3 linked regions of the Tribolium castaneum genome follow. The protein of the gene in region 3 binds, or shares a complex with, the protein of the main gene of each other region. Links are inferred from orthologs where the notes say so. Each region holds a gene or a part of one and is shown on either strand. Other genes may lie near its edges.

What was found. The genes of interacting proteins can lie anywhere in the genome.
Region 1: the proteins of Cam (region 3) and trp are in contact, whole or in part, in a crystal structure (PDB 7CQV), measured with the Drosophila melanogaster proteins. The link is inferred for Tribolium castaneum from reciprocal best matches to the Drosophila melanogaster genes Cam and trp. Residues at the interface, in NP_001246276.1 of Drosophila melanogaster: Glu12, Ala16, Leu19, Phe20, Lys22, Leu33, Val36, Met37, Ser39, Leu40, Gln42, Glu48, Asp51, Met52, Glu55, Val56, Ile64, Phe69, Met72, Met73, Lys76; in NP_476768.1 of Drosophila melanogaster: Gly804, Lys805, Met807, Glu808, Arg809, Ile811, Leu812, Asp814, Phe815, Gln816, Ile817, Val820, Glu821, Lys824.
Region 2: the proteins of Cam (region 3) and rdgC are in contact, whole or in part, in a crystal structure (PDB 8ZLW), measured with the Drosophila melanogaster proteins. The link is inferred for Tribolium castaneum from reciprocal best matches to the Drosophila melanogaster genes Cam and rdgC. Residues at the interface, in NP_001246276.1 of Drosophila melanogaster: Glu12, Glu15, Ala16, Leu19, Phe20, Leu33, Met37, Leu40, Met52, Glu55, Val56, Phe69, Met72, Met73, Arg75, Ser82, Glu84, Glu85, Ile86, Glu88, Ala89, Val92, Phe93, Ile101, Leu106, Val109, Met110, Leu113, Glu115, Lys116; in NP_788546.1 of Drosophila melanogaster: Asp2, Glu3, Asn4, Ala5, Ile6, Arg7, Ala8, Ala9, Ile10, Phe11, Ile12, Gln13, Lys14, Trp15, Tyr16, Arg17, Arg18, His19, Gln20, Arg23.

The regions. Positions count from the first base shown.
Region 1 is NC_087402.1:543,210-547,487, forward strand, and holds the start of trp (transient receptor potential protein), read right to left. Parts: upstream 2,801-4,278; 5' UTR 2,736-2,800; coding exon 2,638-2,735; intron 2,335-2,637; coding exon 2,184-2,334; intron 2,129-2,183; coding exon 1,890-2,128; intron 412-1,889; coding exon 210-411; intron 163-209; coding exon 1-162. Other genes in the region: trpl (transient-receptor-potential-like protein), read left to right, coding at 3,106-3,117, 3,162-3,286, 3,348-3,585, 3,636-3,778, 3,826-4,006. UniProt on the Drosophila melanogaster protein: A light-sensitive calcium channel that is required for inositide-mediated Ca(2+) entry in the retina during phospholipase C (PLC)-mediated phototransduction.
Region 2 is NC_087402.1:8,853,186-8,857,407, reverse strand, and holds the start of rdgC (serine/threonine-protein phosphatase rdgC), read left to right. Parts: upstream 1-1,422; 5' UTR 1,423-1,564; intron 1,565-4,222. UniProt on the Drosophila melanogaster protein: Phosphatase required to prevent light-induced retinal degeneration.
Region 3 is NC_087397.1:1,844,412-1,848,496, reverse strand, and holds the start of Cam (calmodulin), read left to right. Parts: upstream 1-1,285; 5' UTR 1,286-1,442; coding exon 1,443-1,445; intron 1,446-1,696; coding exon 1,697-1,871; intron 1,872-3,233; coding exon 3,234-3,476; intron 3,477-4,085. UniProt on the Drosophila melanogaster protein: Calmodulin mediates the control of a large number of enzymes, ion channels and other proteins by Ca(2+). Among the enzymes to be stimulated by the calmodulin-Ca(2+) complex are a number of protein kinases and phosphatases.

The DNA of each region.
Region 1 (4,278 bases), on a different chromosome or scaffold from region 3:
TTTAAATTTTATGGCGAGTTTTAAGCGTCCCAAAGTTTGTTGTTCGCCCAAAACCCATGAAGGATTTTTTTCGTCGTAGTTCAACAGAATCATTAATTCTTCTGAGGTTTTTACATGGTCTAGGAGCAAAGCTGCGAAATTTTCCACAACAGTTCGCATGTTCTACAAGTGAGTGAGGTGAAGTTGGGTTTAGAAAAAAAATAACTTACGTTATATTCGGCTCGAAATTCGGTTTCTAGTCGACTGAGACGTCTCAAGTCGCCCGAAAGTTCGAAAGCAGTAAATAGAGGGTCAGTGGATGAGAGGGAAATGAGTGAAGGGGATGTTAGAGCTTTGTAGGAGTTGATCCGAGCTTGAGAATGTCGTAAAGAGTCACTTTGGTTTGAGCAAACGCATTCGTCACAACCACATCTTAAAAATTAATCAGGAAAAAAATTAAAAAAAATTTTCGAACGTTTGAACCGAGAGGCCGAATTAATTGTACAAATTTTAAAAAGTTGAGAAGAAAACAAAAACAATTCAACAAAAAAATTCATAAATCAAAAACTAAAAGCCGTAGAGCAAAACGGTTTGTTCCAGTGAATTCAGCGGCTCATTTTCTGTATTATACTAACTTTTCACGAGATTTAAAATTTTGAATTATTTTGCTTAAAATTTGCTTAATACACTTACTTACCTTCAAAAAGGTGGAAAAATTATTTTTTTTTAAACTTGTCCTATTATAGTTTTTTGGACTTTTATATGCTTTTACATCCCTCTAGAGTTGTTAAAAGTCCACAAAAAGTGAAATATTCGATTTTTTTATGTTTGATTTTTTCAATTTTCGTCGTAATTTTTGTCGATTTTGGGTACCCGGAACATGTGTCGAGCAATAGCTCCGGAACTATCAGAGATAATCCCATGAAGTGTATTATCGTTGGAAAGCTCTTTAGATTATCTATTTTTTTCAAAAAAGATTAATGTTCTCTGACTTATAGTTTTCGAGCAAATTGCTGACAAATGCAAAAATTGGTGAAATTTTAAAAAATTCATAACTAAAAAACTATTCGGAATTTGGTAATTTTCTCGATGCCAATCGATTCCCCGGATCATTTTGCATAGATATGGATCAAAATAGTTCCACATTTTAAAATAGTTTAACCGTAAATGAGAAAATAAAAAAATTAAAAAAAAGTTAACACCCCCCCCTTAAAATCGGTCAATTTTAAAAATGTCTCAAAGTCAAATAAAACCTATTCTATCTTATAGATTTTGATGTGCTCTTTCTGATGGAAAAAAGCGTTTTCTCCTAGTTCTTTTAGTTTGGCCGTAATCGGCGTATGAAAATTGAATTTTTTTGCGAGATATCGCCTTGAGTCCTATGCCATTTTGTAGAGTTTTTTATTCCGGTTGTCCACGATTTTTCCGTTTTTCGATAACTCTAATAGTTTGGCCGTAATTGGCGGTTGAAAATTGAAAAAAAGTGAAAATAGAAACATTTTTTGCGTTTTTCTCGGAAACTGTAAGACTTAGAGCAACGAGCAAAAAACCATCTGATAGCGCTTAATTTTATTTATTTTTTCGACCAAACCCGGAGCCCCTCCGGGCAACGGTTCTGGCTACAGAAGCGATCAAAGTTTTTCACTAAAAAAATTCATAAAAAAAAAACTAAAAGTCGTAGAGCATTGCGGTTGCAGTTTTTTTAAATCACTAAAGCAAAGTTTTATGCACTTGAAAACGGCTCCTCGGTTTAAACTTGTTCTTGTACAATCTCTCATTTTGCGCAAAACAGACTAAGAGAATTACCAAAAAAAACACCAAATTAAGTCGAAATTAAGCACATTTTTCTAGTCAAAAAATCAGAAATTTCGACCTAAATAGTGTAATTTTTCATTTTTCAATTTAATTACTTGACATCGTGAGGCAATGGAAGAGTGGCTCCTCTATCCAGCAACAGCTTAATAATCTCGTAATTATTTTTATGCCCGGCTAAGACCAGAGGTGTAATATCAGGTGTAAAAGTGGCCGAACACCGTTCGACTTTTTCCCAACTGTACAAATCGCCAACTTGATGCGTCCTCTCCTCCCAATCTAAAAGCATTTCAACCGCTTCCACAAATTCCTCATTTATTGCATGAAGCAATCCATCCTGCAATTAAAATTTCGCAGCACTAAAAATAAAACTTATTATTACTTGCGATTACTTTAACGTCAATCTGCGACTCAAGGAGAAGCTTCACCAGCTCGATATTTCCATTCTCAATTGCTATAACGAACGCTGAGCGATTTAGAGCATCGATGCAGTTTATATCAAACTCTTGATCGCCCTCACCACCACCATATTCCTCAATTATCCTATTATTTTTTTCGCAATTAATTTCTTGTTTATTTTTAAAAGCAAAAAACTTAGAAAATGGAATACAAAAACAAAATTAAAAAACTCTAAAACAGCAAAGAAAAAACAAAAAAAATGGAAAACTGAAATTATAATTAATTAAAAGACCATCAACCATCTTTATTGTCATGTATACTACATTTTTTCAATAAGTAATTTAATAGAAAAAAATTAGTGTTAAAATAATATTTTATCTACCCTTGTTAAAGTGCAATTTTACCCACTCAAAACAACTGACAATGAAATATGCTATAAAAAATTACCTGCGAACTGTAGCACAATCACCCCTTTCGGCATGAAGCAAAAACGATTTTTCCACCTGACTTAACGCCCTTTCATTATTACAATCAGATCCAAACATTTTCAATCACTTGTCGCATCGAGAATACTTTCAAGTTTGTATTGACCCTCACTATTAATTGAATTAAAATGCGGGACAAAGCCAAGAGGATTACTCCCAGGAGCGTTATATAATAGGAGTTTTGAGTTGGAAAAAATCACCAAAAATTCCTTATTGGCGCAATCAATTTTCTTAGTTGCTTTATTGCATTTAAACCAATAGTAATTTTACCAAAAAGTCGGTTAGTGTAATGCACTCGTTTGGTGTAATCTAATTTAATAAAGACAATAATGTGATTAGACCATAGTTATAAGCGCTTACAAGATTATTACTAACTTATTACTCGCCCTATTTTTCTAGAGAGTAATGTGATCGCCTAAATTTGTGCAAAATGGGGGATTCGGTAAGTTTCATTAAATTTTCCCCTAATTAATTGTCTTGTGATAGGTTGATGTTGAGGCTAAAGTCACACGCAAGACCCTAATCATGCCCAACTTGCCCAAGTCACTTTCAATTGAAGAAAAAAAATATTTATTGGCCATTGAACGTGGAGACATGGCAAATGTTCGCCGGTAATGGAATAAATAATAACCACCAACACAATTTAATAAGTAACACGATTATTTCTTCCAGAATGTTGCAAAAAGCCCACCGGAAAAAATCGTTTGATATTAATTGTGTGGATAGTCTAGGACGTGGTGCTTTATCGATTGCCATCGACCAAGAGCATCTCGAAATGGTGGAACTCCTGGTGATCATGGGAGTGGAAACTAGAGATGCTCTTCTGCATGCTATTCACGTAGAGTTTGTGGAAGCTGTTGAGCTTTTGTTGGAACACGAGGAGTTGATCCACAAAGATGGGGAGCCTTATGTAAGTTTTTGTTAACTTTATTTTGCTTCATTTGAGCAAATATTTTGCAGAGTTGGCAAAAAGTTGACATCAACACTGCCATGTTCACACCTGATATCACTCCCTTGACTTTGGCCGCCCATCGAAATAATTACGAAATTTTGAAAATTTTGTTAGACAGAGGAGCGACTATTCCGATGCCACATGATATCAAGTACGACCATAAATAAAAAAATAAATAAAAATAACTAAAAATCGTAGATGTGGATGTGATGAATGTATCAAAGAATCTGAAGAGGATTATTTACGACACTCGTTAGCGAGACTAAACGAGTACAAAGCTCTGGCAAGTCCGTCTTTGATTGCACTTTCGTCAAGTGATCCGATTTTAACAGCGTTTCAATTGTCGTGGGAATTGAGGAATCTGGCGTTTGCTGAACCGGTAAGTAGATAGACAATTTTTATTCATTCATCATGCAATAACTCCGGAACTATAAAACTTAGACTAAAAGTTTTAGAATAAAAAAATTCATAACTCAAAAACTAAAAGAGCAATGCGGTTTGTTCCATTGAATTCAGCGGCTCATTTTCTGTATAAAACCAACTTTCAACGAGATCTGACATTTTAAAATTTTTTGCAAAAAATTAAAATAGGCAATTTCTATAATGAAAAATTTTATTCAATAAAAAAATTCATAACTCAAAAACTAAAAG
Region 2 (4,222 bases), on a different chromosome or scaffold from region 3:
TAAGTTTGCTAATTTTTTCAGCACCTGTCTACACGAAAGGCAATAAAAATGTGGAAAAACTTCTGTTATTGTGAGATTTATTTCAGTGTCGATGTCAATATAAGCTGTCTCACCGATTTATATTTATGTTCAGAGGCGACATTCCTATTTCTAGTTTTATCTAAAAATTTAGAAAATTTATTCATGCTTTACGACACTCAAGTCGAGTGTTTTGCGAAAATATGAAAATAAAAAAATAAACACTGAATTTAGAAAAGTTTATTTTTCTTAATTAGATCCGGTCACCTCCAACTTTTCCTCATGTTACGACAGAATAAACCAATAGACTGATTTTGTACTCACTGTTCGCTCTCCCAAGTATCTAAACTTTGTAACGAATTAAATTTTAATACGTAAACCTGGAAGTCTGTACTTACCTTGAATTTCTCAGAGAAGCACACTTGCATGGTATATGAGCTCATTTTTCGCGGATAATATTATGCAGAAAGAGGATTATTCCCTGTGAATTATATTTTAATTAAAACCGAAATACGACAATTTTTAATAACAAGATTTCTCGAAAGCCTAATTCGTACTCTCTTTAATTACTCTACTGTGTGATTTCAAAGCAGTTGAAATTTTTGCTGAAATTTAGAACAATTACGTTGTTGTACTCTATTGTTTAGGAAGAACGCTTGTTATCACCTCTCGTATAGATTATGGACTCCAGTGTGTCCTTTCACCTTTCTATTTTCGATCAATATACCCTACTTACAAAAGGCCAGCCATTCATCTCAATACCAGGTTGTAATAGTAAAGGCCCAAAAAGTTACGAACCAAATTTTAGCTTTATTCAGGATAACACGACCACTGCAGTAGTGTTTTGTCAAGGCTACATAAAATTATTTAATTACGATCATTATTGACTTAAATTTGCTTCGCCACGCAAATGTCAGAAACAAATTCGATTTAGCTGCAGTAAAGCAATAAAGTTGTGAATTCATAAATAACATCTTTCTCTAATTTATATTTCCTTTTCAGCGACGATTTTAAGTTCATTAAGATATTTTGAATCACTTTGTTCTTTCCGGTCCTTTCTCTCTGTGATCATATCTCAAAAATACGTCCCACTTATCTCTGTGTCGAAGTAAATTCAATTAAAACAACATGAAAGCGGGATGTTATTTATTCAAAATTCAGCTGATAACAAAATTTATATTTTTAATTAGTCCAGTTTACTTAAACAGGAATTTAATTAGTTTGCGAATGCTACACAGAAATATTTTTCAGGATTAAATATTTTAAATACAATTTGGAGATGTATGTTGGAATTTCCTGGCGGAGGACACTTCCTTGCATTCCTGTGAATCCCCAATATCGATCTTTTTTCGATTAAGGGCGAAAAGTGAAAATTTCGGAACGCTTGCGCTTGCTACTTAGGCGCCGCAGTGCTTTAAAAAGTTGGTAAGCGTCACGACGCAAAGCGTCAGTTAGCGTCGGTGGGCTAGCGAGCCAACAGCATCGCGTAAATTCTTATCTTACAAATACGACGTGACACAACTTTTCTAACATCGGTTATCACGTGGTAAGCTTTAAATCACCCTTTCTGACATATGGCGCAACGAGCTTTCGATGCTGAATTTTTCGAAAAAGTTTCGACTTTCTCAAGTTTCTTCTAAATATAATAAAACTGACCCTAATATGAAAATCTAACCGGATCAATTCTGACGCTTTTAAAAATAACGTACAATCAGCTGATGTCGGGGTATAAATTTAGAAATACTCGCCCAATTTTCTACTGGACACTGCATCCTGTCTCAGGTTGAGTAATAACTCGCACCTGAAATTCGTTAACCGCGGGCCAATATTGATTTCACCACCGAATATCGGTGCAAGATTCATCAGTTTTTTGTTTACGTTCAGTTTTTTAGGTGGGTGTTAATAATTAAGAGCGCGATATTGTTTTATATCAGCTTTTGACGCCACTACACATTTTTTACAACAAAGCTCTGGACAAGCTTGTTTATATTCAACACTCATTCGACATCGATTTTAGTTATTGACGAATTCGTAAACGTGCTGATGACTTCGCTCTAAATTAATATTATCAATTTCCTTTCAGTTTAAAAATTTGAAACTGCCCTTTAATTGGAGAGGTCATGAATTGCTGAACGCTTTGTCCTGCAATCGATCAAACTTAGCGCAAACAAAAACAAGATTGTGTTGTGTGTGGAAAACCGTTCTTAATGTATGAAGGGAATGTCTTTCATACAAATTTTGTGGAACGAGCCCAAACTCTTTAGTAAAAAAAAATCAAAAAGAAGGTTTTTATTTTTTGCCTGTTAGCTCAGTCCGAGTATAAATTATTTGTCATAATTTTAAAGCTTAAAAAGTAATTTTGCTTATTCTCAACCTGCGTGGTTAGAAAAATAACTGGAATAAATTGTGCACGTACAACTCATCGTAAAAAATCATCCCATGTAAAACGAAATTTTTACGTAAAACGCTTCAGCCGTCCTTGGGAAAGATAAATGTGATGAATATTTTTACAGGACTGCTTATCGACAAGGCATAAATTTATAAAAGCGAAGTTTTGTAATAAATGTTTTATACAAATATGTAAGCTGTTTGGAAACATGTTTACCGAAGCTTGAGCCACTTTAAGAAAGGGTAAAGGACAAAACGGTCAAGGACCAACAAGAGGTAACCCAGTTGTTACATTTTTGCAGCGCTTGTAAACCGGCCGTTTATTGCGAATATTAAATTCTCGCACGTTTGATCCTGAGCATAATCCCATTCCCGAGTTAATTTTTGCCAACGGAATCGAAACATCTATTTTGATAAACGCGCTTCAGACGCACTCCCATATAAACTCTCGATTTTGTATTCCCCCGAAAATAGCTTTCCCAATCAAATCGCACTTTGTCTTTAAAAATAAATAATGTAAATTTCCGTGATTTAACGCGAGTTTTATGACTGGATTTCGCTTAAATGAATTATCTCAGCCTTTGAAACAAACCTACATTCAGATGGATTGAGATACAAAAGACCCATTATGCGGCTGGATGGGCTCGAATCAGGGGCGTCACTGGGTCTTTTCAAAACCATGGACCCCTTAGACTTGCTACAGAATAAACGCATTGTGCTATTATCCGATTGCGAAATCTTGCACACCCACGAGTGTTTTTAGCACATCCTGTTAACATTGAGATGGAATTGTGTTTGATTGTCTTTGAAAAACCAAATCCCTCCGAGCAATTTTTATACTAAAATTGGCAAAAATCCGCAACTGAAAGAGACTTTGCTTTTATCCCACCGTATTTTATGTCTGCAACCTCACAAGCAAATCACATATTTGCCATATACATGAAAAATATTGTGAGTACTTATCGGCTAACAAAGTTACAACTCTCAAAGATAGTAAGTTGCTCTTCCGTTCAACTTATGCATGAAAATTACATTTAATTTCAGAAAGCACGTTCCTGCCAGACACAAAGGATTACTAAAGTCCTTTCAGCAAGAATTTACATAAAAATTCCGTATTAACATATTTAAAATTATCCCGGCTTAAATGTGACTCAAATTTTAGTTTCTGTTTCAATATCTAAACAACTCAGCTATTAATATTCACATGTTGCATCAAATGAACTGTTGGTAGCGTCATAATCTGGACCAAATTCTCGCATTAAACAATATAAAGCTCAAAGCCTTGCTGGGGCTAAATAAAACTTAATTTGCGTCCCAGACGTGCATTAGAGGATGTCTTGGCGCTCTGTACACAAAAACAGATAAATAGATGGTTGTATCCGAACGACGAATTCAATTTTCGAGAGTTAACGGATGCAGTGCTGACAACCTGACGACGAGTAAGCCAATATGCGCCAAATTACAAAACGTAAACAAATGATGTCGTTTTTACGATGACATGGCAAAATGTTGGATTATTTGAGATAGCGTCTACAATTTGAATATTTGATTCAATTTATTCTCCTGGAGTTGGCGTTTGGTAAAAGGGGATCTTCGTAGCGTCCCAGTTCACGCAAGAAGGGATTTTTTTATAAAAAAGAAATCAACCTGAGCGAACGCTACAACTTTTAAGCTTCGAAAGTTGCCAAGGTGTGACGGATTTTTTCAATAGGGAGCTTTGAATATGCCACTGCTTTTAAATTAAATAAGTAATGTGAGTGAGCTTTCGACTTTTAGCACTGAGACAGGGCCTGTCTGTTAGTACGCTGCGCTTCAA
Region 3 (4,085 bases):
GATAATCTTATCAATTTAAAGATCCCGAAGTGCTCTACAGATTCCTGCACAAATATTTTCCTTATGGTAAAACTACCGACAAGAGTAAACATCTCATAAAACACGAAATTGCATTATCCTGAACTTTAATATTAACCTTGATGAAATTTTTAATAACAGACTTCCGACAATAAAACTGTTTTTCAAGCATTTGCATTACGATCTTTTAGAACTCCCTTCAAATTGTTATGGGCATGTGACGTCACCGACCAATATTGCCAGTTTGGAGTATTAAACTGACGATAATGTAAATCTTTTTAGCAACGACTCAATTTTTTTCTAACAATTTTTATTAAAAAAAAAGAAAATGCGGAAAAAATTTCAGTTAATCTATGTGTCATTGTTTTACTAAACACATCTAAAAAAGTTGGCAATATTTATTTTGCATAAAGTGACTCATGGTACAGTTCCAGTCAGAAATTATGTCACGCGACTGTTACGCACGGGTGAAATTTACTGAACCAATATCAAGGTCACGAAAAATTTCAAATTGTGGATCAATTATGTAGAAATTTTAACTGAATAAAAAACTTCTAGTTATTAATTTGTTTTATTATTCCCATCACGCCTTCTGCATTCAAATTTTCAAAACCCTTGCTATTTATCGTGGTTCAAGTATCTCAAGACGCAATAAATACTTATTGATCCAACGCCTTGTTTCCACACCACCCTGTATATGCACCTTCCCGAATGCATTAATTGAATTAGACGCCAAGTTGCGCAGCGTGCTATGGCTGTCAATTTGCGAAAAAAAAGGCGATCGTTTTCGGACCCTCACACACCTCATGCCCCAAAGCCCTTCGCCGAACTGCTTCCCGGCCCCAATCAGGGGGCGTTTCCTTTGTTTTTCGTCGGTGCGCCACTGCCGCACCCGAGCAGCGTCGCCCCGAATCCGACGCATCACGCCGTTACTTGAACCACCGCGTGCACGGCTTGCTTGACGCATTGCAGGTACATATCGACCAATGGGAACGCAGCTCCGTACGAAAGTACGTTGTAAACAAGCCGCGCCCGACATTCAAACGTGGCGGACTCTCCGCGCGCAAAACTAGATCCGGGGCTTTGCGGCTTTGGGGGGCTCAATTTTGAAAAAGCGTCTTTGTGGGGGCTTGTGGCGGGTTCTCGCGAGGTTTGGGGGGGTTTTTGTGGCGCTGGGGGCCCGCGGGGGGCCTCGGTGGGGGCGGGCTGGGCGTAGGAATATTTACTCGTTGGTGTCGTAGCCGCACTATTGCGCTTTGGCGGTAGTGCTTTCGCAGCCCCTCCACCCTCCCATCCTAAACAAAACGAGAAAAGACACAGACGCAGACAGTTGGCTGGTGCACTTTGACGCGAAAAGTCGCAAGTGACAGTTGTTTTCGTGGCAAAGAATTGTTTAGAGTGCCCTTTTTACCGGAAATACAGCCATGGTAAGTGGGCCGGAGGCGGCCGAAGGGCGGCTTTGGGGCGCGGGGCTGCGGATGGTCGCGCTTCGCGCGGATATTTCTGGTTTGTGATGCTTTCGCAAATAGCTGTCAGTTGCCGTAAACCGGTAAATTGGTTTACCGCAATGCGGACAAATTCAATTTCGACGGCTATTTTCGACGGTATTGCTAAATTTCGACGCTGGGGACTTGTATCGATCTGTTGCTTGGGGTGTTTACTTTCTGATGGCTTGTAGGCTGACCAACTCACCGAGGAGCAGATCGCCGAGTTCAAAGAGGCTTTTTCGCTGTTCGACAAGGACGGCGATGGCACGATCACTACCAAAGAATTAGGAACTGTTATGAGATCACTAGGACAAAATCCCACGGAGGCAGAACTCCAGGATATGATCAATGAAGTAGATGCCGATGGTAAGATCAACTCGACTTCGATAAACAAACGACTGTTTTGACAGGGCTTTTTTCTATTGCCAACTTAACCGTGTGACCGTTAGGACCATCTGTTGCCAGTTTGATTATTTGCCTTCAACGTTTGTTTTATTAAGAAAAACGGAATGATGTAATTATTGCCAGATAAAACTTTATCGCTACATACTATTCAAAGTGTAACAGTTTGATCGGTTATTTTTTACCAACGTTGATAAACCGATAATGGACTGCATTGTTCTCAAATAGACTATACAATCGGTGATAAAATCGCAACTCTCGATAATCCCAATTAAAAATTCTTCATAGAAACAAACTTATCTTATCGCAAATACGTCATCGATATTTGGCTGTGACGGTTATTAATTAAATAGCAAACCCCAATCAAAAGTTTTTTCATCATAAAGTTGGTAACGAATTCAAAAAGTACGTTAATGACTAAACTTTGAGTAAGATGAGTAACTTATGTCCACAGCATGAGTAATTTCACCTTTCGGAAAAACACCTATGCATTGATTAGAACAATTTATCATTAAAAAAAACGTAGATAATTTCGACGAAAAGTAAAGAAATCGGTTCTTAAAAATATCGAATAAAACATCACTTTAATAATTTGACCCAGTGTTGGTTATAGGCCGCTGCTAGACACTAGAAAAATCGCCCATCTGTATGTAGATCAGCGTCGGTCGAATCGCATTAGCCATGAAATTACCCCGTGGCACCCAAGATAATTTGCGAAACAGCATTCATTTGTTATTCAATGACAGTTCGCACTCCTAAGCCAACGATGATGGTCCATAAAGGCTAAGATTACGCTATGAATTTTAATAGAGCGGACTAACTGTGTGAAGGAAAATGAAAATGCACAAGTATTGAATATTTCAGACGTGGATATTGTTTTAAAAAAGATAACGTTTGACTGAGTCGAGTTTGAACGGGAGAAAACCAATTTTTTCATGTTGCGGTTTTGTTTATCAAATAGTGACGGAAATTCCTGTTTTCTTAATTTATAACAATGAAGGCGTGAATGTTGACACGGATGCGTAGTGGCGCCGCCACTATACGAAGGGCTATAAATTTTTATAAATTGATTATTACTGCGCTCCCTGGAGACGCAAAGGTCGCAACTATTTGGAGAATTCTGGTGTGTTTTTCGGAGGATGTTATTTTCGTATTTATTGCTGTGGCAGCGCAATTTCGGGCCGTGTTCTTTGCAGTTTTAGTACCTTTTTAATTATCCTAAACTATCGAAGGATAAGTAAATTAGATTATTTTCCGTAATGCGATTCCAAAAATAACAATTCGATGTGGGATTTTTCTGGGTGACACAGTTTTTTGGGTGTTTAGGTAATGGTACAATCGATTTTCCTGAGTTCCTAACGATGATGGCCCGTAAAATGAAGGACACCGATAGTGAAGAAGAAATTCGCGAGGCATTCCGAGTATTCGACAAAGACGGCAACGGTTTCATTTCGGCAGCCGAATTGCGTCACGTGATGACAAACCTCGGTGAGAAGTTAACCGATGAAGAAGTCGATGAAATGATCCGAGAAGCTGATATAGACGGCGACGGTCAGGTCAATTACGAAGGTAATGTTTTTTCGGGTGTTTTGTGTGTTGTACATTTATCATTTTTGTCGGGTATAGTGTAGTAGGCTTGGGACGATCACGGGTCTTTGATTTTCGTTTGGGTTTTATGTGAATGTAGCTCTTTTTTTTTTGGTTTTATTTCGATATGTGTTCTAGGCCAGGAAGGTATGACTGGTAGTGTTCCTTTGCAGATTTCCGAGCTCTAGCTCTCATAGTTTTCAGTCGGTACTCAGCCACACATGCTTCGAGCTGGTCAGTTGTAGTCTTGCTTTGGGAATGTGCTTAGTGGCATGTTATTTTGTTACTGTTCTACCTATCACTGTCTTGAGCACTCTTTGACGATGTGTCTATTCGCTTTTTATGGTTAGAGTTGTTTTTGATTACCAACAGTGAAGCACATTTCCAAAAAACTTTGACTGCATCTTCATTATTGTCGTAGATACAATTAACAAAAACTAATTAAAACAATAAAAAAGTAATGTGCGCATTACGATTTCAGAAGTTTCTTGGCTAATACGAATGAAAATTATTCGTACCAGTAATAACGTTTCACTTATATCGATGTAGTGCACCCAACACGATTCTTTATTACGTTGGGATTATGTTGTG